Linked DNA regions of Struthio camelus. The protein of the gene in region 1 interacts with the protein of each later gene in a biochemical or structural test. Links are inferred from orthologs where the notes say so. Each region holds a gene or a part of one and is shown on either strand. Other genes may lie near its edges. The genes, in order: dual specificity tyrosine-phosphorylation-regulated kinase 1B-like and HNF1A.

What was found.
Region 2: of the proteins of dual specificity tyrosine-phosphorylation-regulated kinase 1B-like (region 1) and HNF1A, one has a biochemical effect on the other in vitro, tested with the Homo sapiens proteins (2 studies listed by IntAct, with this or other methods). The link is inferred for Struthio camelus from reciprocal best matches to the Homo sapiens genes DYRK1B and HNF1A.

What each region holds. Positions count from the first base shown.
Region 1 is NC_090974.1:149,904-161,238, reverse strand, and holds the start of dual specificity tyrosine-phosphorylation-regulated kinase 1B-like, read left to right. Parts: upstream 1-6,818; 5' UTR 6,819-7,051; intron 7,052-11,335. Other genes in the region: FBL (rRNA 2'-O-methyltransferase fibrillarin), read left to right, coding at 1-102, 779-911, 1,879-1,991, 3,144-3,289, 4,013-4,034.
Region 2 is NC_090958.1:8,141,701-8,152,788, forward strand, and holds the start of HNF1A (hepatocyte nuclear factor 1-alpha), read left to right. Parts: upstream 1-6,581; 5' UTR 6,582-6,920; coding exon 6,921-7,255; intron 7,256-8,505; exon of another isoform or gene 8,506-8,778; intron 8,779-10,908; exon of another isoform or gene 10,909-11,088. UniProt on the Homo sapiens protein: Transcriptional activator that regulates the tissue specific expression of multiple genes, especially in pancreatic islet cells and in liver. Binds to the inverted palindrome 5'-GTTAATNATTAAC-3'.

The DNA.
Region 1 (11,335 bases):
GGAGGCATCGACCAGATCCACATTCGCCCGGGGGCGAAGGTCCTCTACCTGGGTGCCGCCTCGGGGACGACCGTGTCCCACGTCTCCGACATCGTGGGACCGGTAAGGACCCCCCCGCCGGGGGAGGGGACACAAGAGTCCTGGGTTGAGGGGAAGTGGGGACGAGTTGTGGTCTCCTTGGGAACGTTGATGTGGCGTCCTGGGGCAAGGAGACGTGGGGATGGAGTTGTGATCTCCTTGGGGACATCTGCCTGGTGTTCTGGGGTGAGGGAACGCGGGAATGGGGTTGTGATTCCGTTGGGGACATCTTCATGGCGTTCTGGGGCAAGGGGACCTGGGGATGGGGTTGTGTGCCCCATGGGGACGTCACCATGGGGTCCCAGAGGTGAGGGGATGGGTTGTGATGCCCTTGGAGGCATCTTCATGGTGTCGCAAGGCTGAGGAGACCTGGGGATGGGATTGTGATCTCCTTGGGGACATCTTCATGGTGTCCCAGGGGTGAGGGGACCCAAGGACAGGACTGTGATCGATCCCCTTGGGGACATCCCTGTAACATTTGGGAAGGGGCGACTTGGACCTCCTGAGATTGTCCCTGCAGGTGGCACATTTGTGTCCTCAGAGATGTTTTTGCCCAAGGCTGTCCCCACAGGGGGCAAATCCCTATCCCTGTCTTCACGCTGTCCCGACGGGGGGCAGCTCCACGTCCCCAGGGGTGACCCCCAGGCTCGAGGACCCCGAGGCTGTCCCCGCAAGGGGGGTGACCCTACCTGTCCCGCAGGAGGGACTGGTTTACGCCGTCGAGTTCTCCCATCGCTCCGGCCGCGACCTCATCAACGTGGCCAAGAAACGCACCAACGTCATCCCCGTCATCGAGGACGCCCGGCACCCCCACAAGTACCGCATGCTCATCGGTGAGCCTGGCTGCGGGTGACAGCGTTTTGGGTGTCCTCAGGGTTTTGTGGGGTGTCCTACAGAGTTATTTTGGGGTCTTAGTGTGGCTAGGAGATGATTTTGGAGGTCTTGGGGGCATCTTGGAGGTGCAGGTGATGGGTGTGGGAGCGTCCTATGCCATCTTGGGGAGGTTTCTGGTGTTTTTGTGGGGATCAGGAGGACCTAAGGTGAGTTTGGGGTTATTTTAGGGGTCCTACATAGGTACTTTGGGCCTTAGTGTGTCTAGGGGAGGATTTTGTGGGTCCTGGGGACATCTTAGAGATGCAGGTGGTGGATCTGGAGCTATCTTGGGACACCTGGGAGAGGTTTCTGGGGCTTCCTAAGGGTTGTTTGGGGATTTGGGGGACATAGAAGGGGGCCCAGGATGGGGGTTGGGGGTCTAGGAGAGGTTTTTGTGGGTCTAGGGGTGTCTTGGAAATGTGGGAGGGCATCTGGTGGCATCTCATGCCACCTGGGGGAGCTTTTGGTGGTGTTTTGGAGGTCAAGGAAACCTTAGATGAGTTTGGGATTGTTAGGGAGGTTCTAGAGAGGTGTCTTGGGGTCCCATGGGGTTTAGAAGAGGTTTGGGGGGGGTATTTGGAGCGTCTTGAAGATTTAGAAAGTGGTCTGGGGCCATCTCGGGGTACCTGGGAGAGGTTTGTGTGGGTCCAGTTGGGTGTGTTGGGTTTTGAGGGGCTACAAGAGGGTTTAGGATGAAGATTTGGGGTCTTGAGACAGGTTCGAGGGCATCTTGGTGTCTTGGGAGGTTTCTTGGGAGTGTTTTGTGGGTTAGGGGATGTTTGGGGGACCACAAAGAGGTTTCGGGAGGTCCAGGAGAGGATTTAGGGGGGTTGGGGACATCTCGGGGGGCTGGAGCACAGTGGTGGGAAGTTTTTTGGGGGGGGGGGGGGGTCCCCGGCCCCCTGTCACCTACCTCGTGACACCCAGGCATGGTGGACGTGATCTTTGCGGACGTCGCGCAGCCCGACCAGTCGCGCATCGTGGCCCTCAACGCCCACAACTTCCTGCGCAATGGTGGCCACTTCGTTATCTCCATCAAGGTAACGAGCGGGGCGGGTTGCTGATGGGCCAGTGACAACCAGTAGTGACCCCTGATGGGCCAGTGACAAGCAGAAATGACCAGTTATCAGCCAGTGATAACCACTAATGAGCCAGTGAAAACCAGTGATGACCAGTAATGGACCAGTGACAACCAGTAAGAGGCCAGTAACAGCTAGCAGTGACCAGTAATGGTCAGTGATAGCCAGTAATGGAGCAGTGACAGCTAGTTATGAAGCACCAATGGACCGGTAACAACCAGTAGTGACCAGTATGGGCCAGTGACAACCAGTAACGACCAGTAACGCACTGAGGACAGCAACTAAGGACCAGTAGCAGACTGATGACATCCCATAGCAAACCAGTAACAGGGCAATGACGACCAGTAGTGACCAGTAAGAGCCACTGACAACCAGTAACAGGGCAGCGATGGCCAGTGACAGGCCAGGAATAACTGGTGGCAACCAGTAACAGCCCAGTAATGACCAGTATCAGCCTGGGATGCACCAGTAGTGACTAGTAACACCCTAGAGACAGCCCAGTAGTGACCAGTAACAACTGGAAGCAACCCCAGTAATGACCAGTGACAGCCCAGAGCTTCCGAGTAATGACCGGTAACGCCCTAGAGACAGCCCAGTAACGACCAGTAATGACCCGTAGCAATCGAGGGGCTCCCAGTAACAACCAGTTAAGACCCAGTAAGAACCAGTAATACCAGGGACATCCTGGGAAGGGGGACAGTTCCCCTCCCATCTCAGTTTCTGCCCCAGGACTCCCCATTTTTGCCCCAAAATCTCCATTTCTGCCCTGAGACTCCCAATTTTTGCCCCAGGATCCCCCTTTCTGCCCAAGGACTCCCCATTTTTGGGGCATTTCACCCCAAGACTCCCCCTATTTGTGTTTTTTCCCCCTCCTATGCCCATTCCTGCCCCGAGACTCCCCATTTTTGGGGGATTTCACCCCAAGACTCCCCATATTTGGGTTTTTCCCCCCTCCTATGCCCATTCCTGCCCCGGGACTCCCCATTGTGGGGGATTTCACCCCAAGACTCCCCATTTTGGGTTTTTTTCCCCCTCCTATGCCCATTCCTGCCCCGGGCCTCCCCATTTTTGGGGCGTTTGACCCCGTTCACCCCTTCTTCCGCCCCCCCCAAGGCCAACTGCATCGACTCGACGGCGGCGCCCGAGGCCGTCTTCGCCTCCGAGGTGAAGAAGATGCAGCAGGAGAACATGAAGCCCCAGGAGCAGCTCACGCTGGAGCCCTACGAGCGCGACCACGCCGTGGTGGTGGGCGTCTACAGGTGCCGCCGGGAGCTACTGGGGGGCACTGAGAGAGGGGGCCAGGGGGCTGGAGCAGGGTGACGGGGTGCTGGGGACCTCCAGGAGGGGGACGCGGGTTGGAGTTGGTCACCACGGTGGACCTCGGGGATGTGAACGGGGTGAGGAGATGCAACGGGGACAGCCTGGGGTGTCTTGGGGACGCAGAGGGATGACATCTGGGTGAGGGAACACAACGAGGTGGGACGTAGGGGACATGGGGACAGCCTGGGGTGTCTTGGGGACCCAAAGGGATGACATCTGGGTGAGGGAACACAACGAGGTGGGACGTAGGGGACCTGGGGACACGCTGGGGTGTCTTGGGGACGCGGAGGGATGACATCTGGGTGAGGGGACAGAACGAGGTGGGACGTAGGGGACCTGGGGACACGCTGGGGTGTCTTGGGGACGCGGAGGGATGACATCTGGGTGAGGGAACACAACGAGGTGGGGTGTAGGGGACCTGGGGACACGCTGGGGTGTCTTGGGGACGCGGAGGGATGACATCTGGGTGAGGGGGACAGACGAAGGGGCCACGGGGACATCTGGGGGCCATGGGGGGGGGGCCCAAAGGGGACGATGGGGACAGGAAGGGGGACGCCCCCCCCCCATGGCCAGGAGGGGGTGACACAAGGGGACAGTGGTTGGGGGGGGGGAGGAGGGGACACGCCACCAGCGGTGACACGTTCCCCCTTCTTCGTCCCCAGGCCGGCGCCCAAGCAGAAGTGACACCTCCTTCGTCCCCTTCCTCCTCCTCCTCCCCCTCCCCTCCCGACGGCGCTTCGGACCCTTCGGTTTGGGGCGAATTCTCGCGCGTTTGGGGTTTTTTTTTGTGTGTGTGTGCGCTACGGCGGGTTTTTATTAAAATAAGAGGGGAAAAAAAACAGCCGGGGGGGCTCATGGCTGGGGGGGGGGGCAATAGGGGAGAGTAATTACCCCCTTTTGGGGAGGGGCAGGAGGGGGTTGGGAGTTAATTGCCCCCATGGTGGGGGTAATCGCCCCCAAGTGTAGTTGGGGGAGGTATTACCCCCCTGGGGGGGCAGATTCGGGGCCTGGGATGGGGTTATTTGCCCCCCAGGGGTAGATTGGGGGTTATTACCCCCCTCTGGGGGGGGCAGATTTGCAGTCTGGGGGGGTTAGTTGCCCCCAAGGGGTAGGTTGGGGGGGTTATTGCCCCCCAGGAAGGCAAATTTGGGTCCTGGGGGGGTTAGTTGCCCCCAAGGGGTAGGTTGGGGGGGTTATTGCCCCCCAGGAAGGCAAAATTGGGTCCTGGGGGGGGTTAGTTGCCCCCAAGGGGTAGGTTGGGCGGGTTATTGCCCTGCAGGAAGGCAAATTTGGGTCCTGGGGGGGGGGGGGTTAGTTGCCCCCAAGGGGTAGGTTGGGGGGGGTTATTGCCCTGCAGGAAGGCAAAATTGGGTCCTGGGGGGGGTTAGTTGCCCCCCAGGGGTAGGTTGGGGGGGTTATTGCACCCCAGGAAGGCAAAATTGGGTCCTGGGGAGGGTTAGTTGCCCCCAAGGGGTAGGTTGGGGGGGGTTATTGCCCCCCAGGAAGGCAAATTTGGGTCCTGGGGGGGTTAGTTGCCCCCAAGGGGTAGGTTGGGGGAGGTTATTGCCCCCCAGGAAGGCAAATTTGGGTCCTGGGGGGGTTAGTTGCCCCCAAGGGGTAGGTTGGGGGGGTTATTGCACCCCAGGAAGGCAAAATTGGGTCCTGGGGAGGGTTAGTTGCCCCCAAGGGGTAGGTTGGGGGGGGTTATTGCCCCCCAGGAAGGCAAATTTGGGTCCTGGGGGGGTTAGTTGCCCCCAAGGGGTAGGTTGGGGGGGTTATTGCCCCCCAGGAAGGCAAAATTGGGTCCTGGGGAGGGTTAGTTGCCCCCAAGGGGTAGGTTGGGGGGGGTTATTGCCCCGCAGGAAGGCAAATTTGGGTCCTGGGGGGGGGTTAGTTGCCCCCAAGGGGTAGGTTGGGGGGGTTATTGCTCCCCAGGAAGGCAAATTTGGGTCCTGGGGGGGTTAGTTGCCCCCAAGGGGTAGGTTGGGGGGGTTATTGCCCTGCAGGAAGGCAAATTTGGGTCCTGGGGAGGGTTAGTTGCCCCCAAGGGGTAGGTTGGGGGGGTTATTGCCCCCCAGGAAGGCAAATTTGGGTCCTGGGGAGGGTTAGTTGCCCCCAAGGGGTAGGTTGGGGGGGGTTATTGCCCCCCAGGAAGGCAAATTTGGGTCCTGGGGGGGGGTTAGTTGCCCCCCAGGGGTAGGTTGGGGGGGTTATTGCCCCCCAGGAAGGCAAAATTGGGTCCTGGGGGGGTTAGTTGCCCCCAAGGGGTAGGTTGGGGGGGATTATTGCCCCCCAGGAAGGCAAATTTGGGTCCTGGGGGGGGTTATTTGCCCCCAAGGGGTAGGTTGGGGGGGGGTTATTGCCCCCCAGGAAGGCAAATTTGGGTCCTGGGGAGGGTTAGTTGCCCCCAAGGGGTAGGTTGGGGGGGGTTATTGCCCCCCAGGAAGGCAAATTTGGGTCCTGGGGGGGGGGTTAGTTGCCCCCAAGGGGTAGGTTGGGGGGGTTATTGCTCCCCAGGAAGGCAAATTTGGGTCCTGGGGGGGTTAGTTGCCCCCAAGGGGTAGGTTGGGGGGGTTATTGCCCCGCAGGAAGGCAAATTTGGGTCCTGGGGAGGGTTAGTTGCCCCCAAGGGGTAGGTTGGGGGGGTTATTGCCCCCCAGGAAGGCAAAATTGGGTCCTGGGGAGGGTTAGTTGCCCCCAAGGGGTAGGTTGGGGGGGGTTATTGCCCCCCAGGAAGGCAAATTTGGGTCCTGGGGGGGTTAGTTGCCCCCAAGGGGTAGGTTGGGGGGGTTATTGCCCCCCAGGAAGGCAAAATTGGGTCCTGGGGGGGGGTTAGTTGCCCCCCAGGGGTAGGTTGGGGGGGTTTTTGCCCCCCAGGAAGGCAAATTTGGGTCCTGGGGGGGTTATTTGCCCCCCAGGGGTAGGTTGGGAGTTATTTCCCCCCCTCGAGGGGGCGCATTTGGGTCCGGGGGGGGTGTTACTTGCTCCCGGGGTAGGTTGGGGGGGCTAATTGCCCCGGGGAGAGGCAGATTCCACCCCCTAGGGGCGGGGCTTTTATTGGCCCCGCCCCTTCCCCGCAGCGGCGAGGGGCGTGGCCTCGTTCAGCCCCACCCCGAGGCCGTTGGGGGGGAGCAGCCGTCAGCGCTCCTTCCCGCGCATGCGCATTGCCGCCGGTCGGGCGCTCTGACCGGGCGTCACGTGCCACCCCAGGCGCACGCAGGCTTGAGGAGGGCGGGGCGGACCCCGGCGCGCGCTGGTGACGTCTGCCCGTGCGCGGGAGGGGCGGTGCGCATGCGCGGAGGCCCCCCCCCCCCCCCAACCCATCCCAAACCATCTCCCGCTTTTCCTCCGCGGGCGCCGATTGGGCGGGGCGCGGCGGCAGCAACGGCGGCGTTGATTGGGCGGGGCGGCGGGGGTTGGCGGCGTTGATTGGGCGGGGCGCGGCGGCGGCGGCGGCGCCGATTGGGCGGGGCGGCGCAGGCGCAGAGGAAGCGGCGGCGGTTTGTTGTGGCCGCCATTTTCCGTGGCATTACTGGGAAATCCCCGGGGCGCCGCCGCCGCCGGCCGTTAGCGGCCTCGGCCCGGTCCGGCCCCGGCCCCGCCGCTACCTTCCTCCTCCTCCTCTTCCTCCCCCTCCTCCTCCTCCTCCCCTCGCTGGGGTCAGTCGCTCCGCCTCGCTCCGCGCAGCGCCGCCGCCACAGGTGAGACCCTCCCCGGGGCGGGGCCTGCTCGGGCCCCGGCAACCGCCACCGGCCTCCGGCTACCGGTTCCCCCCTCCCCCCCAACCCCGGCGCCGCGGCCTCGTCCGCCCTTTCCGCGCCCGTCACGGGGCAGCCGGTACCGGTCCGGCTCTAACGGGCTTTTCCCCTCGCCCCGTTACCGGCATCGCTCTCGGGTCCCCCCCCCCCCCCCCCCGGTACTGACACTGGGCCCTGAGGCCCTTCCGGTACCGGTAGGGGTCCCCCAGTGCTCCCAGTACCGGTATGGGTCCCCCTGGGACTGGTTTGGGTGCTGTGGTACTGGTATGACCCTCCCAGTCCCCCCAGTACCAGTATGGGTCCCCCTGGGACTGGTTTGGGTTCTCTGGTTACTGGTATGGCCCTCCCAGTCCCCCCAGTACCGGTATGGGTCCCCCTGGGACTGGTTTGGGTTCTCTGGTTACTGGTATGGCCCTCCCAGTCCCCCCAGTACCAGTATGGGTCTCCCTGGGACTGGTTTGGGTTCTCTGGTTAGTGGTATGACCCTCCCAGTCCCCCCAGTACCGGTATGGATCTCCCTGGTACTGGTTTGGGTTTTCTGGTTACTGGTATGACCCTCCCAGTCCCCCCAGTACCAGTATGGGTCCCCCTGGGACTGGTTTGGGTTCTCTGGTTACTGGTATGGCCCTCCCAGTCCCCCCAGTACCAGTATGGGTCTCCCTGGGACTGGTTTGGGTTCTCTGGTTACTGGTATGGCCCTCCCAGTCCCCCCAGTACCAGTATGGGTCCCCCTGGGACTGGTTTGGGTTCTCTGGTTACTGGTATGGCCCTCCCAGTCCCCCCATTACCAGTATGGGTCTCCCTGGGACTGGTTTGGGTTCTCTGGTTACTGGTATGGCCCTCCCAGTCCCCCCAGTACCAGTATGGGTCCCCCTGGGACTGGTTTGGGTTCTCTGGTTACTGGTATGGCCCTCCCAGTCCCCCCAGTACCAGTATGGGTCCCCCTGGGACTGGTTTGGGTTCTCTGGTTAGTGGTACGGCCCTCCCAGTCCCCCCAGTACCGGTATGGGTCCCCCTGGGACTGGTTTGGGTTCTCTGGTTACTGGTATGGCCCTCCCAGTCCCCCCAGTACCGGTATGGGTCCCCCTGGGACTGGTTTGGGTGCTGTGGTACTGGTATGACCCTCCTATTCCCCCCAGTAGCAGTATGGGTCCCCCTGGGACTGGTTTGGGTTCTCTGGTTACTGGTATGACCCTCCCTGTCCCCCCAGTACAAGTATGGGTCTCCCTGGGACTGGTTTGGGTTCTCTGGTTACTGGTATGGCCCTCCTAATCCCCCCCCCCAGTACCAGTATGGATCTCCCTGGTACTGGTTTGGGTTTTCTGGTTACTGGTATGGCCCTCCCAGTCCCCCCAGTACCAGTATGGGTCCCCCTGGGACTGGTTTGGGTTCTCTGGTTACTGGTATGACCCTCCCAGTCCCCCCCCAGTACCAGTATGGGTCCCCCTGGGACTGGTTTGGGTTCTCTGGTTACTGGTATGGCCCTCCCAGTCCCCCCAGTACCAGTGTGGGACCCCCGGTCCTCCCAGTACTGGTATGGGTCCCCCTGGGACTGGTTTGAGTGCTGTGGTACTGGTATGGCCCTCCCAGTCCCCCCAGTACCAGTATGGGTCCCCCTGGGACTGGTTTGGGTTCTCTGGTTACTGGTATGACCTTCCCAGTCCCCCCAGTACCAGTATGGATCTCCCTGGGACTGGTTTGGGTGCTATGGTACTGGTATGACCCTCCTAATCCCCCCCCAGTACCAGTATGGGTCCCCCTGGTACTGGTTTGGGTGCTGTGGTACTGGTATGGCCCTCCCAGTCCCCCCAGTACCAGTATGGGTCTCCCAGTCCTCCCAGTATCAGTATGGGTCCCCCCCTGGTACTCATACGTGTCCCCCAGTACTGGTATGACCCTCCCAGTCCCCCCAGTAGCAGTATGGCTCCCCCAGTAGTTGTATGGCCTCCCAGTACCATTATGGGTTTCCTGGGTTTCCCAGTTCTCCCAGTACTGGTATGGATGTGCTGGTACTGATTTGGGTCCCCCAGTACCTCTGGTACTGGTGTGACCCTCCCAGTCCCCCAGTACCAGTATGGTTCCTGCTGGTACTGGTATGGGTCCCCCGGTACTGCTATGACGCTCCCAGTCCCACCAGTATGGGTTTCCTAGTTCCCCCAGTACCAGTATGGATCCCCCTGGGACTGGTTTGGGTTCTCTGGTTACTGGTATGATCCTCCTAATCCCCCCAGTACCAGTATGGGTCCCCCTGGGACTGGTTTGGGTGCTGTGGTACTGGTATGGCCCTCCCAGTCCCCCCAGTACCAGTATGGGTCCCCCTGGGACTGATTTGGGTTCTCTGGTTACTGGTGTGACCCTCCCAGTCCTCCAGTACCAGTTTGGGTCCCCCTGGGACTGGTTTGGGTGCTCTGGTTACTGGTATGACCCTCCCAGTCCCCCCCCAGTACCAGTATGTGTCCCCCTGGTACTGGTTTGGGTTCTCTGGTTACTGGTATGGCCCTCCCAGTCCCCCCAGTACCAGTATGGGTCTCCCTGGTACTGGTTTGGGTTCTCTGGTTAGTGGTATGGCCCTCCCAGTCCCCCCAGTACCAGTATGGGTCCCCCTGGGACTGGTTTGGGTTCTCTGGTTACTGGTATGACCCTCCTAATCCCCCCCCAGTACCAGTATGGATCTTCCTGGTACTGGTTTGGGTTCTCTGGTTACTGGTATGGCCCTCCCAGTCCCCCCAGTACCAGTATGGGTCCCCCTGGGACTGGTTTGGGTTCTCTGGTTACTGGTATGGCCCTCCCAGTCCCCCCAGTAGCAGTATGGGTCCCCCTGGGACTGGTTTGGGTTCTCTGGTTACTGGTATGGCCCTCCTAATCCCCCCCCAGTACCAGTATGGATCTTCCTGGTACTGGTTTGGGTTCTCTGGTTACTGGTATGGCCCTCCCAGTCCCCCCAGTACCAGTGTGGGACCCCCGGTCCCCCCAGTACCGGTATGGGTCCCCCTGGGACTGGTTTGAGTGCTGTGGTACTGGTATGACCCTCCCAGTCCCCCCAGTACCAGTATGGGTCCCTCTGGGACTGGTTTGGGTTCTCTGGTTACTGGTATGACCCTCCCTGTCCCCCCAGTACCAGTATGGGTCCCCCTGGGACTGGTTTGGGTTCTCTGGTTACTGGTGTGACCCTCCCAGTCCTCCAGTACCAGTTTGGGTCCTCCTGGGACTGGTTTGGGTTCTCTGGTTACTGGTGTGACCCTCCCAGTCCTCCAGTACCAGTTTGGGTCCTCCTGGGACTGGTTTGGGTTTTCTGGTTACTGGTATGGCCCTCCCAGTTCCCCCCAGTACCAGTATGGGTCTCCCTGGGACTGGTTTGGGTTCTCTGGTTACTGGTATGGCCCTCCCAGTCCCCCCAGTACCAGTATGGGTCCCCCAGTACTTGTATGGTTTCTGAGTACCAGTATGGATCCCTTGGTACCAGTATAGCTCTCCCAGTTCCACCAGTACAGATCCCCCAGTACCAGTATGGGCCCTGTTCCTCCCCCTGCCTCGTCCCAGCATCAGTCCAGTTTCCCCCACCTTGTCCCAGTTCCCCCCCCGCCTCGTCCCAGTACGGGCCCAGTTCCCCCCCACACCTCATCCCAGTATGGGCCCAGTGCGTCCCCCTCCCTCCCCCTGCCTCGTCCCAGTCCCATCCCAGTTCCCCTTTTGCCTCATCCCAGTGCAGGCCCAGTTCCCCCCCGCCTCATCCCAGTTCTAGCCCAGTTCCCCCCCACCTGTCCCAGTCCTGTCCCAGTTCCCTTCCTGGCCTGTCCCAGTCTCAGTCCAGTTCTCCCCCCGCCTTGTCCCAGTCCTGTCCCAGTCCAGTTCCCCCCCCCGCCTTGTCCCAGTCCTGTCCCAGTCCAGTTCCCCCCCCGCCTTGTCCCAGTCCTGTCCCAGTCCAGTTCCCCCCCCGCCTTGTCCCAGTCCTGTCCCAGTCCAGTTCCCCCCCCGCCTTGTCCCAGTCCCGTCCCAGTCCCCCCCCGCCTTGTCCCAGTCCCGTCCCAGTCCCCCCCCGCCTTGTCCCAGTCCCGTCCCAGTCCCCCCCCGCCTTGTCCCAGTCCCAGCCCAGTTCTCCCCCCGGCCTCGTTCCAGTCCCAGCCCAGTTCCCCCCCCCCCAACCTCGTCCCAGTCCTGTCCCAGTCCAGTTTCCCCCCCCCGCCTCGTCCCAGTCCTGTCCCAGTCCAGTTTCCCCCCCCCGCCTCG
Region 2 (11,088 bases), on another chromosome or scaffold:
CAAAGCATCATGACTTTAGCTTAGTGGGGTCCCTGCTGGGGAGGATCATGGCAACTAGGTGTACTGGAAGGATTATATAGTAATTGATGCTAATGCTTCCTCTCACAGAGCTCAGGCTGGGCTACCTTGCAAAATATTTGCTTCTATTTAACCATATACCTTTTTGCCCCTCAACTTACTTACACCCTATGCACAGTGCCTGTGCCCATCTCAGGAGGTACGGAAAGCTCTGGGGGGGTGGGGGGGGGATGCAAGGACAGAGGAGTGAGTTGTGCTCAAAATCACACTGATCAGTTTGGGTGGAAACTCTAGACTCCCCGCACTCTCACCCCAAGCCTCCAAATAAGAAGAATGCTCTGACTCTAATGGTGGGACTGATTTGAGGGAGAAGCCCCTTTCCTTTCTCCTCCCACACCCCAGCAAAAACATCTAGTGACAATTAGAAAACTGACAATTAATTTGGAATCCACGCTCTGCTGTGCTGCAACCACGGTGGCTGCAGGGTGCATGCTTGTGCAATCCTTTTCACTGCTCGTGACAGAGTAAATGCAAGAGGAAACCTATCTATCCTTTTGAATCAATGGGGGGAAGGATAAACCAGTGTTTCAACCTTGTCTTGGTACTAAAGATTCCTTTCTGAGACTCTTTTCCTGAGAATAGGATGTAAAACTGATGTTGGTATCTATAAAACAACAATGTCCCTGCTTTGTGGCCTTAGTTAGCTTCTTAGTCTTGCAAAATTCTTAGCACATTAATTTGACACAAGTGATTTTTAGCTGATGAGCAATTAAAGCATAATTTTTTCAGCATCTCAGACTTGTGACTAGACTAATAAATGACAATTTTGCAAGCATGCTCTATCATTACATGATAGCAGTGGGATCAATTCACAGGACAAATGTATTCTTCCTTGCAGACCCAGCATCTGCTCATACTCCAAAGTGGGGCACAGCTCGCATTCCCCAGATAATTTTCTCAGTGTACTGCTTGTGCAGACTTTCTTCAGACGTACAAAGCTTTCCTCTGACTTTCAGTGACAGTTTACTCTTGACGTTACAAAGTCCTTTCAAAGTACTTGCTCTGTCTGGTGCCTTTGATGTAGACTGATGCACTACCTAGACTTACAAAGGTATTTCAGCACAAGCAGCAAACAAAAATAAGTTGTTGGTTTTTTTCCCCCCTACTTGGCAGCGTAACTCCCAGAGCACAGGGAGGCAAGCGTGGTGGCGGAGAATCAGACAAAAGCACTCGCTACAAAAAGCCCTCACCTCTGAAGAGCTTAAATGTCATTAGAGGACGTTTTAGCTAACCATGTCTTGATTCATCAAGCAGGCCGATGGAAAGAACCGCAGCAGCTTCATGCGGAGACTGCACCTTTTGGGAAGGGACATGACAGGTAGAGTTGTCAACCCTGCTTGGGTTTGGGAGGAACACGTAGCATGGAAACGAGCAGAAGGGGACGGCAGAAGTCAGAGATTCAGTTTGGCAGTGCAGCTCAGAGCTGCGCTCGGCTGTTCTGCTTGTAAGATCCTAGTAGGATTCCCCTTGCTAAAAAGAAAGCATGTGCTGACCGGTACGTGTCACACGATTCTCTTCACCACCACCTAGTGGGAAACTCCTTCATTACCCGAGCTCCAGCACTGCCCTCGCTCTCCAGCCTCATCCTCACCCTGGTGACGGAGAGTAAGCGAAGGAGGGACAGATGGATGAATGAGGAGGACAGAGTCCTGCTTCCCATAGAGGAAGAGTGCAGAGATAATATTGGTAATACCTAGAGATTACAGCCTATAATTTGTCCCCCTAAGCTGCAGCCAGTGCAGTCCCTAATGTTTGTTAGGCCTTAGCCCCATTCCCTGGGGAGACTTGCAAAGTGCCCTCTGCGCAGATGAGCATGTGAAACGTTTGTTCTTCTGGATGCAACTCTCCTTACTGCTCTTTGCAGGGTGCCAAGTTGGGAAGGTGCTCTAGCATCTAAATCAAAAGATAGCCTTGCTCTCTTCTTGCCTCTCTTTCGATAGTCCTAAGGTTGGTTATTCTGTTGAGAACGGGAGAAGGCTACCAACTAAAAATGCTTTGCTCCTCTGTAAAGACATATTTACTATTATAATCACGTATTTACAACAAGGACTACTACATGAAAGTGTTAAATGGGTATGTATTAGGAGTAGTCGAATCACATATTCAAGGGAGTCCTTCCCTGCTGCGATACTCGAGGTTCACACAAACAGCTGAAATCCAACCCTATGAAAACAACATACCAATGACAATTATCTGGGATTTTTCACTCTCCTGCATGCCACTTGGGGCCAAGCTCCCAGGGCACAAATAATAATCGGTTTTGGCACTTGTGTAGCTTTCTTTTCCTCAATCACAGAAATAGGGATGAACACAACGATAACAATAATTCTCACATTTCAAGGAGGGGATGATAGTAATGTCTTTCAGGCCAATAAAGCATTTGGCAGTCTCAGCTGGAGGAACCATAAAATGGCAAAGAATTATTAAAGGAACCACTTCTAAATACTTCTTTGGCCAATGGCAGTTTTATCACTGTATTCATGGAACTATACAGGCTCCCTCTGCTAGCAATTTTACTATAAAAATATTTAGTTTTTTTCTTTCTCTGCATGCTCCTTGAGGTCATGGCATTAGGCTTTATCCCAGTCAATCACTGTATTTTTCACTGTGTATACTTGATGGTGGATATAATTTAACAAATTAAAACACTGAAGATAACAATTGTATTGATACAAGAGTCAGGCTCTGGGAACCTCTAATCCACCTGCACTTCTGTTCACGTTACTCTGCTGCGCAACTATTTCACTTGGTTTGGCTTTCCTGTAATAAGCAGAATGCAGACCAATAGGTCTAAAATAAGAATAAAGTTCCTATTATATACCCATTTATACTTTCATGGAGTAGTCCTCATTATTTATTAATCCACAGTTCAACTACCTTATTACATGTTCTTGGGAGAAGGCAATCCATTGGAACAGTTTATCAAGGCAGACTATTATTTATCAATGAAGTAGAATGAAACAGGAAGAGAAGCCGTCCTTGCCTGGAAGCCTATTGGAGAATGCCAGCAACCCCGTTCTGTGATGCAGCTGTCACACAGTGTTACCAGACCGCCTACTACTTGAAGGGAAGAAACTTATAAAAATAAAACAAACAGACAATGTATTAAAGCGTAGGTAGGACAATGCAGATTATTTGAACATGTTTAAAGAATCTTTATTAAGCATGCCATTAAAATAAAAAACCTACAGAGCTCAGAATCCTCAGGTGTGATTATGATTACTAACCGATAGATTTCTCCAATCGGCATCCAGACCATTCTGTTAATATAACATTTTTCTTGAGCTTTCTATTAAGCTTACCAGTTTATTGTTGTAAAGCTGCTCGTGTCTTGTTACTGAAGTATTGTTTGAAGGATCTCGACCACCATATTAGTTATGCTTAATGAAAAATAAGTTTGCAGGAGGAAAAAATAATACAAAACCAGATACTGCAGACAAACATGAGAAAAGGCAGGTATCACTCGGGGCCTTCATACTTCAAAAACTACCTCTCCCTTACAGTTACCAGCATCATGTTATTCCGGGTGACTCGAGAATCAAGATATGCCCCAGTAAATTTTTGCAAGTAAGAAAATCAACAAAGCAAGTACAAAAAACAACAAAATCAACTGATATAGAATGCAAATGGGTATAGCAAAGCCAAATCCTTTTCTTTCAACTATTCCTTCTCAAGGCAAAATCCATGAGGCACAATTTAGATATAGGAATATATTGTTTGGATTATGGTACTCTACAATTTAGCTCTTGCTCTACTACTAGAACTATAATCTAGCTGGTTAAAGCTTTGCAGCTTCCACTCTTGACCTCTGCTATCCTTATTACCTCTCAGCAGGATATTGTGGCAGTTGTAATAATCTGAGAAACCCGAGCTTGCAGTCCTCAGTGTCAATATATAGAAAAGGGGTGCTGGTTAACCCATAGCAACAGTTTCCGTCCTACCTCCCACTTGTTCATTCTGACAGTTTAGCAATTTGTAACATCTGAGAAACACTGAAAAGCTCACTGGTTTCCTTGCACTGAAGAATCTGAATTAGATCCTTGATGGAGTGCTGAATCATTTGCTAGCATATCTGGTTTGGCAGGTTACAGTGAATGTAAAAATGACAGTGTAGACATTTTTAAGGAAAGTTTTTACCTCTTCCTTGGTTGTCCAGGCTCTTGGAGTTTAAAATGGGCAACTCCAATAGATCAAGGGAAAAAGACCTTCAAGGATAGAGTGATGGAGAAATTTACCTCTTCCTCAGTATTTGAAAGGTTTCCACGTTAAACGCAGGATTCCTCATGTGGTATCCAGTTGTAGCATCCTGTAGGTCCTAACAAACAGGCAGATGTTCATTTTTGGTTTTATAGCCTTTGAAGTTCATTGGTTTCAAGAGAGGCTGTTTTAAAAGCTTCAGCAGCTGAAGGCCTCCGGGGCAAGCAGAACCAAGAGGGAAGGGGCTTCTGGTACACGAGGAATCCTTAAAACCACATGATAAATACAGATAATTTCTTGATATATTTTTTTTCCTTCTTTACAGTTTCCCCAACAAATACTGCTGTTCTTTGTCTAAACTTCAGGATTTTTTTCCTGCAAGTGTGCAACAGAAGTATATATTCACAGAAAATAGACTGGACAGTCTATAAATAAAAACAATGTTAGCATTTTCCATCCCCTCTAGTTTAGGTAAACAAAATCACTGTGCACAAAGGCAGAAGTAAGTAACAAGACATGGCAGCATCTTCCCTGCCACATATTGCAGCGAGCTCACAATCTGTTGTCTCTGCATGCAAAATCCTTGAATTACAAGGATGCATCATGCTGAAACCATACATCATGGTTGGGTACTGTCATTACAATTGGTAATTACTGTTACCAGCCAGCACTGTTAGACTGTCTACTGGGGGGAGAGGGGGGGGGCGGGATGAGGAAAATTGTAATCAAAAATAAAATGTACAGAAATTGTATCCAAATATTGCTAGGACAATGCCAAAAAAGCTGAACATTTTTAAATGCTCTTTACTAAACCTGCTATGAACATAGTGAAGTATTTAGAAACTAAAGATCTTATTTTACATTAAATATTTTCACACGGACTCTGAATTGGTACTCCTTTTTAGGCAGACGGAGGGAGTCTGCTGGAGCCCCGTCTGAGCCTTTTCAGCTTCCAGCAGTGAGGGGAGCTGGCACTCGGGGGGCAGACGCCTCTGAAACGAAGGCCAACAGTTAGCAGCAGTCCTGGCTGCGGGGTCAGCCCAGCAGCAGCTTGCTGCGACTGCAGGGAGGAGGGCGCCAACCTGCCAAGGAGCTCAGCCCCTCCGTGCTGAGCCTGGCGAGCACGGCTCCCGCTGCCCGCGAAGGGAAAACCGGCCAAGGTCGCTCTGCAGCAGCGTCTTGGCCAGTGCTCAGTCTGGGGCCATCCTATGGGGATGGCTAAGCTCCTCTTAGCTTGGGCCTGATGGCAGTATATAAAAGTAGACCAGTAGTTGCTCCTAGGAAACCTCTGTTAAAACAACAGTTTTAAACCCTTCTCCCATCGATCACACAAGAAGAAATCATTCACACGAGACCCTTACACACCATCAAGCCCACACTTGCATACTAAGTTATTCCCTAGCCCCTTGAAGTAAACAGATGCATTCATATATTTGCAGATGAGAAAAGACCACCAGTCATCGCGGCCTCCCGACAACTCCAAGCAACGCCAGCCAAGCTGGCTAGGGTGTTTTAGAAAGTCACCCAAAAGGTGGGGGGTAGAACCAGAAAGCACAGCCGGCATCAAGAGGGGATGGAGGTAGATGCTAAACGGGAACCACCAGCCTGTCCAGGGCACTTCTCCAGAGAAGCAGAGCAATCGGAGATAGGGCAGGGACTTTCGGTGTGAACCAACACCCAGGGCTGCTCCTTATCGTGTGCTTGAATCATCAGCTCAACGGGGCAAGTCATGTAATCCCCCAAATTATGTGGGTACGCTCATCAATTAAACAATACATACAGCAAGTTATAAAGGAGGTACCAGTATTTGCATATCAAGGTACTCCAGCAAGCCAAAGCCAGAAGTGAAAAAGTCATTTAACACTCAATGCTGTGCCGTAGAAGTCAGCTGGAGCTCCACAACACGCCGTGAGTCTTGGGAACTTCCCTGTAAACCCAGCAGTTGCACTGGTCGGCCGGGGGGGTGGGCAAAGGCGAGCGAGGCTGCCGACGCAGCCGTCTCCCAGGGCCAACGCCTTGGCAGGGGCTGGTTGAACCTCTCTGCTGCTGGAGCTCTGCGTGGGCTCCACAACCTCCCACCAGCAGCACCTTCTCCTGCACAGGCACCGCCAAACCCACCCCTTGCTTTTGGCTACTCCGCCTCCTTCCTTCTCCAAAACTAATGGGGCCAGAAATGAGCCATGTTTTTTCCCCGTTTTCATTTCCCTACTTTTCTTTCCGTATCTTTTTCTTTTCCATGCTGGCAGACCTTCTACCCCTCCGTTTTCCTCTCCTTCCCTCCCTTTCCCCCTCCCCCTGCTTTCTCTCCCTCTGCACTTTGTGAACTGCTGCTGCCGTGCTGAAGTCCAAAGTTCAGTAACTTGCTAAGCACACAGATAAATATGAACCTTGGAGAATTTACATTGCTCCAATGTAAACAGATAGCCAAGGGTCCCTTTATCAGCACCGGCTCAGGACAGTCGTGGGGGGTCTGAAGTGGCTCAATTTTGTATTTTGTTTTTTTGGGGGGGGGGGGCGTAAAGGCGGGAGGCTGCGCTGTGCCCACTCTGCCGACAGTCAGGCGCGTTACCTCGGGAACATGGTGTAGGGAAGCTGGAGGCAGGATAAGCTGAAATTCAAACCCAAGAGGCACGAGGCTGAAGACCATGGTCTCGAAGCTGAGTCACCTTCAAGTGGAGCTGCTAGGAGCGCTGCTGGAGTCGGGGCTGACCAAGGAGACCTTGATCAAGGCGCTGAGCGAAGCGGAGCCCTACGTCCTCCAGAGCGAGAGCCAGCGCGCCATCCATGCCCTCCAGACAGAGAAAGGGGACTCGTGCCCCGAAATCCCCGCTCTCCCCAACGGCCTGGGGGAGGCCAGGTTATCGGAAGATGAAACCTCTGATGATGGGGAGGAATTTACCCCTCCGATAATGAAGGAGCTGGAGAACCTGAGCCCTGAGGAGGCTGCTCACCAGAAGGCTGTGGTGGAGAGACTATTACAGTAAGGACACGTTTGCTGCTCCTCTTTGCTGCTCTTTCTTGTATTCTCTCCCTCCAAATCTCTTTCCTTTCCCCTTCCTTTCTTCCTACCAGCGTCCCTGGTATTCACAGCTGATCTAACCGCACAGAGACTGTCTTCATCCATGCCAGGACTAGCAGCCCCCCAAATTCTTTGCAGATGCTCAAACTTGTCTTTTGATCACACTTCCAATGCGTAAAGGGAGCTATGGAGCCTGATTGCACATTAGAAGTGCTCGTATCATCAGGAAACGGGCGTCAGAGCACTCCGAGGCCTGGACACCCTGCATCTCTCTGACTAAACGTTAATTTTTATAGGAGTCACAGATTCTGTCATCAAGGGAGAAAAAAATAAAAATAAAAGCAGCCCATAAAAATCTGGTCTCTGTTAACTGGCCTCGCAGTAGTCTTAGAAATTATGGTAGAGAGTTTTAGTTTTTCCTGCTATTTTTAAGGAGGTTAAAATTTTTTTTACTGGCTTTTCCTATAGATGTTATTTGTCAAAGATAAACCAAGAGAGCTTGTTCCTGTCTTTCGTGCATGTGCGAAATTCTCCTGACTTCACTGGGGATTTTTCTTGTAGAAAGAGCAGAAACCAAATATACGCAGAGGTTAGAAAGAACTCGCTATGCTCCTACCCTCCGCCGTCTGCCGTAACTACAGAGCACACATAGGAACAGTTACAGGTTTTACTGCCACAGAAATTTGCCTTTGCATGCAAGCATTAAGTCAAAAGACAGGAAGAATCCCCTAAACCAGCGAGTCTCATGACAGGCCCAGAGAAACATTCACCAGGACTCACGTTTGGGATTCTTACTGGGGTGCAAGCCCTAATAACCACCCTCAGAGGTTTGTCCAGGCGAGGATCAGGTCCTTCAAAGCCATCTAGCCCAACAGCAGCAGAATACTGCCCCTCCGTTTTGGAGGTACTCTGAAACCACAAGCTGTTGGGAGACACGAGATGCAGCACCGTCCTGCATTTCAAATCTTCACTAAAACTAAAATCCAGTTAGAGAATTTGTTGGGCCTTCTGATTAATCCTCTTCACGGTTAAAGGGAATTAACAAAGTGCAACAATAAGAGGCAAACATCAAATCCCACTACAAAAGGCCAGAGCTAGAAAAACAGCATGACAGGCGTTAACATTCGCTGTAAATATTTAAGAGAAGAGCAGCTGGGAGCTGATGTCTATGCAGTTCTCAATGGAAGAAAATTCACAGGATCAGCTCTTACCTGGGAGGGGAAACATTCCCAATAATTCAATCTTCTTTTTGGCCCCAAAAGTCTGCCTCTCTTTTCTTCCCCCCCCCCCCCCCAGCTCTGCTACATCTCCTCTTCCCCGTACTGTTGCTCTCCCATTCTCTTTACCTGTTCCCTTTTTCTCCTCACTTTTGTCTCTGCCACTAGTCCTCCCATTTTGATGTCTTCCTGGCTAATTCTCTCTCACATCCTTCCTCACTCTTTTCCTTCCCCTCATCCTTGTCTCCTTCTCTTCTCCCTGAGTCTGCGTACAGGTCTTGGGGTAGTTTGAGCCCAGTGGCACCGGGCGGGCCCTGGCTAGTTACTAATTATCCAATGGCTTTATTATTTCTCTTTTGTCTTATAAATTTATAGATGAAAAGACCCTGATAAGCTTTTTGATCATTAACTTCTGATGGTTTATCAGGTATCTCTCCAGAAAGGCAGCCATGTAGGTGGAAGAGGAGCACCCGGCTTTGTCCCACTCTGTAATGAATGGGTGCAGCAGGGCTGAAGGGCCGCCTGCCGTAATCTGAGAGCAGACTCACAGACAGAAGGGGCTCCTTCCTGCCACCCTCGCTTCACCATGAATTCCAGTTTCTGATCCTCCCTGCCTTTCCAGGAGCTGGCTACCAGCCTCTCCTGTGCTTCCTACCAGTCTCAGCACAACACTCTTACCTACCTTGCGTGCCTGCAGTATTATTTATGCTTTCCAATCAATGGTCTCCCTTCTAGATGGCCAACTGAGCAGCATTCCCATTTTACAGAAATGGGAACTGAGGTACAGATTCTCTGACTCATCTAAAGACCCCTAGGACAGTGGCGAGAGGATTGGGCAAGAGCCAGGATCTCTTAAGCCTTGTACTGGGTCTTAACTGCAACACTTTGTTCTGAAACCTCAGGGCTTGCTTTCTTCAGTCCTCAATGTCACAGGATACATCAGTTCACTTCTGCTGTTCAGGGCAGTATAAAGGGAACCAGAAGCCACCCAGTTACAAGTGTCCTTATGGGGGGATATAATGGACCAAAACTATTTGAGGTGGAATGGAGAGAGTAGGAAGCCCATATTGACAGTCTTCATATTTCTGGTCAAAGACTTAAAAAAAAATCAACTGTATATCTGGGAAGTATATTCAAAGCATGTCAATACCAGGGTCTGATGGTACATAAACAGTAGCTACCAACTAATACATACTGGGTTTTTTTTGTTTTTTGTAAGAACAAACCTTTCCATTAACAAACACCTAAAGGTAACGTCCTTAAAATAGTGTTACAAATAAGCGTAGATACGGGAGAACAGTCTTTAACAGAAATTACTCCCAGCAGCAGATGAAAGGAAGGAAGGCAAAAAAAAAATGATCTCCAAGCACAACTTCAATGCTTGCAAAGCTGTTTCAGCATCTACACAAGCATTTCAAGTCTTTGAGAAACCAGATGGAGGCACTTTTACCTCTAAGCAGAAGCATTGCTGGGCACTATTAAAAAGTCCTGGACTAATACTGTAGACCACATTTTAGGAGAGGGATTGACTTTGGGCAGCTATTGGTGACACAAGAAAGTCTTTGTGGGTAGCTGCAGCCATTGCTCATATAGTAAAGTAGCATGAGAAGTGTCCATTGCTAGGCTTTCCAGGAGCGGGAAATTAAAAATGACAGCACCAAGAGACCAAATCTGTCCTCACAGGACCACTAAAGAGGGAGCCACAGTTTGGGAACTACTGAGCAACACTGAGCACGCCAGGATGTGGGCAAGGTACACCACCCACGCAGCGGGGTGCACCTGCAGGCATGTCACCTTCTGTCCTTTGCGGACAGGACTGATAAAGGCAGTTCAGAGAAAGGTTTTGCTAGCGATGAATTAACATTGTTTTGTGTGCCTAAATCAGTCTCACTGGTCTTCCCCAGACTTGCAAAATTAAAAATAATATTCTCTCCAGATCACTCCACAAAGAATTGCGTCTATGCTAAAGAATAACCTCACTAGGGAGATGGAGGTGTGTGGAGTAATTCCCAGATATTCCCTGGAGTTCCCTGGAGAGACAGCCTGGGGGGTCTGGACAGGCCATACTACCGGAGGCACAGCAAACAAGAAGAGATATAGCAATAATCCACCTGCAGGGCAAGGGGTGAAATTCCACTAGGAAAGAGAGAACTTGAGATAAGCAACAGATTTCCCCTGGAGGCAGGGATAAAAGCCTGGTTTCCAGAAGGAAGAAAGAAAAACAAAGATGTAATGATACAGGTCTGGTCTTTCCCCCATGTCAGTGGTGTCTTAGAAGAGCTCTAGCTGAGGATCTGGACATGAAGCTGCCACACCCCTTTCATTTCCACATATAAACCAAGATGAGGCAAACCAGGCCAAGTTCAATAGAAAAGAACCCAGCCGGGACGGTCTTACCTTCCCTGCTCTCTGCCCAGCCCGGCTCCGGGCTGTGCACTGGCACCAGTGGGAGTTGTCTGGCGAGCTCCAGAGGAAAGGGCCAGAGGATGGTCCTGAGCACTTCACAGCTCTGAACCTCTGCTTAACCAAGGTCTGGTCCAAAGCAGCACTTCAGAATCTACCTCAGAGAAATGAGGG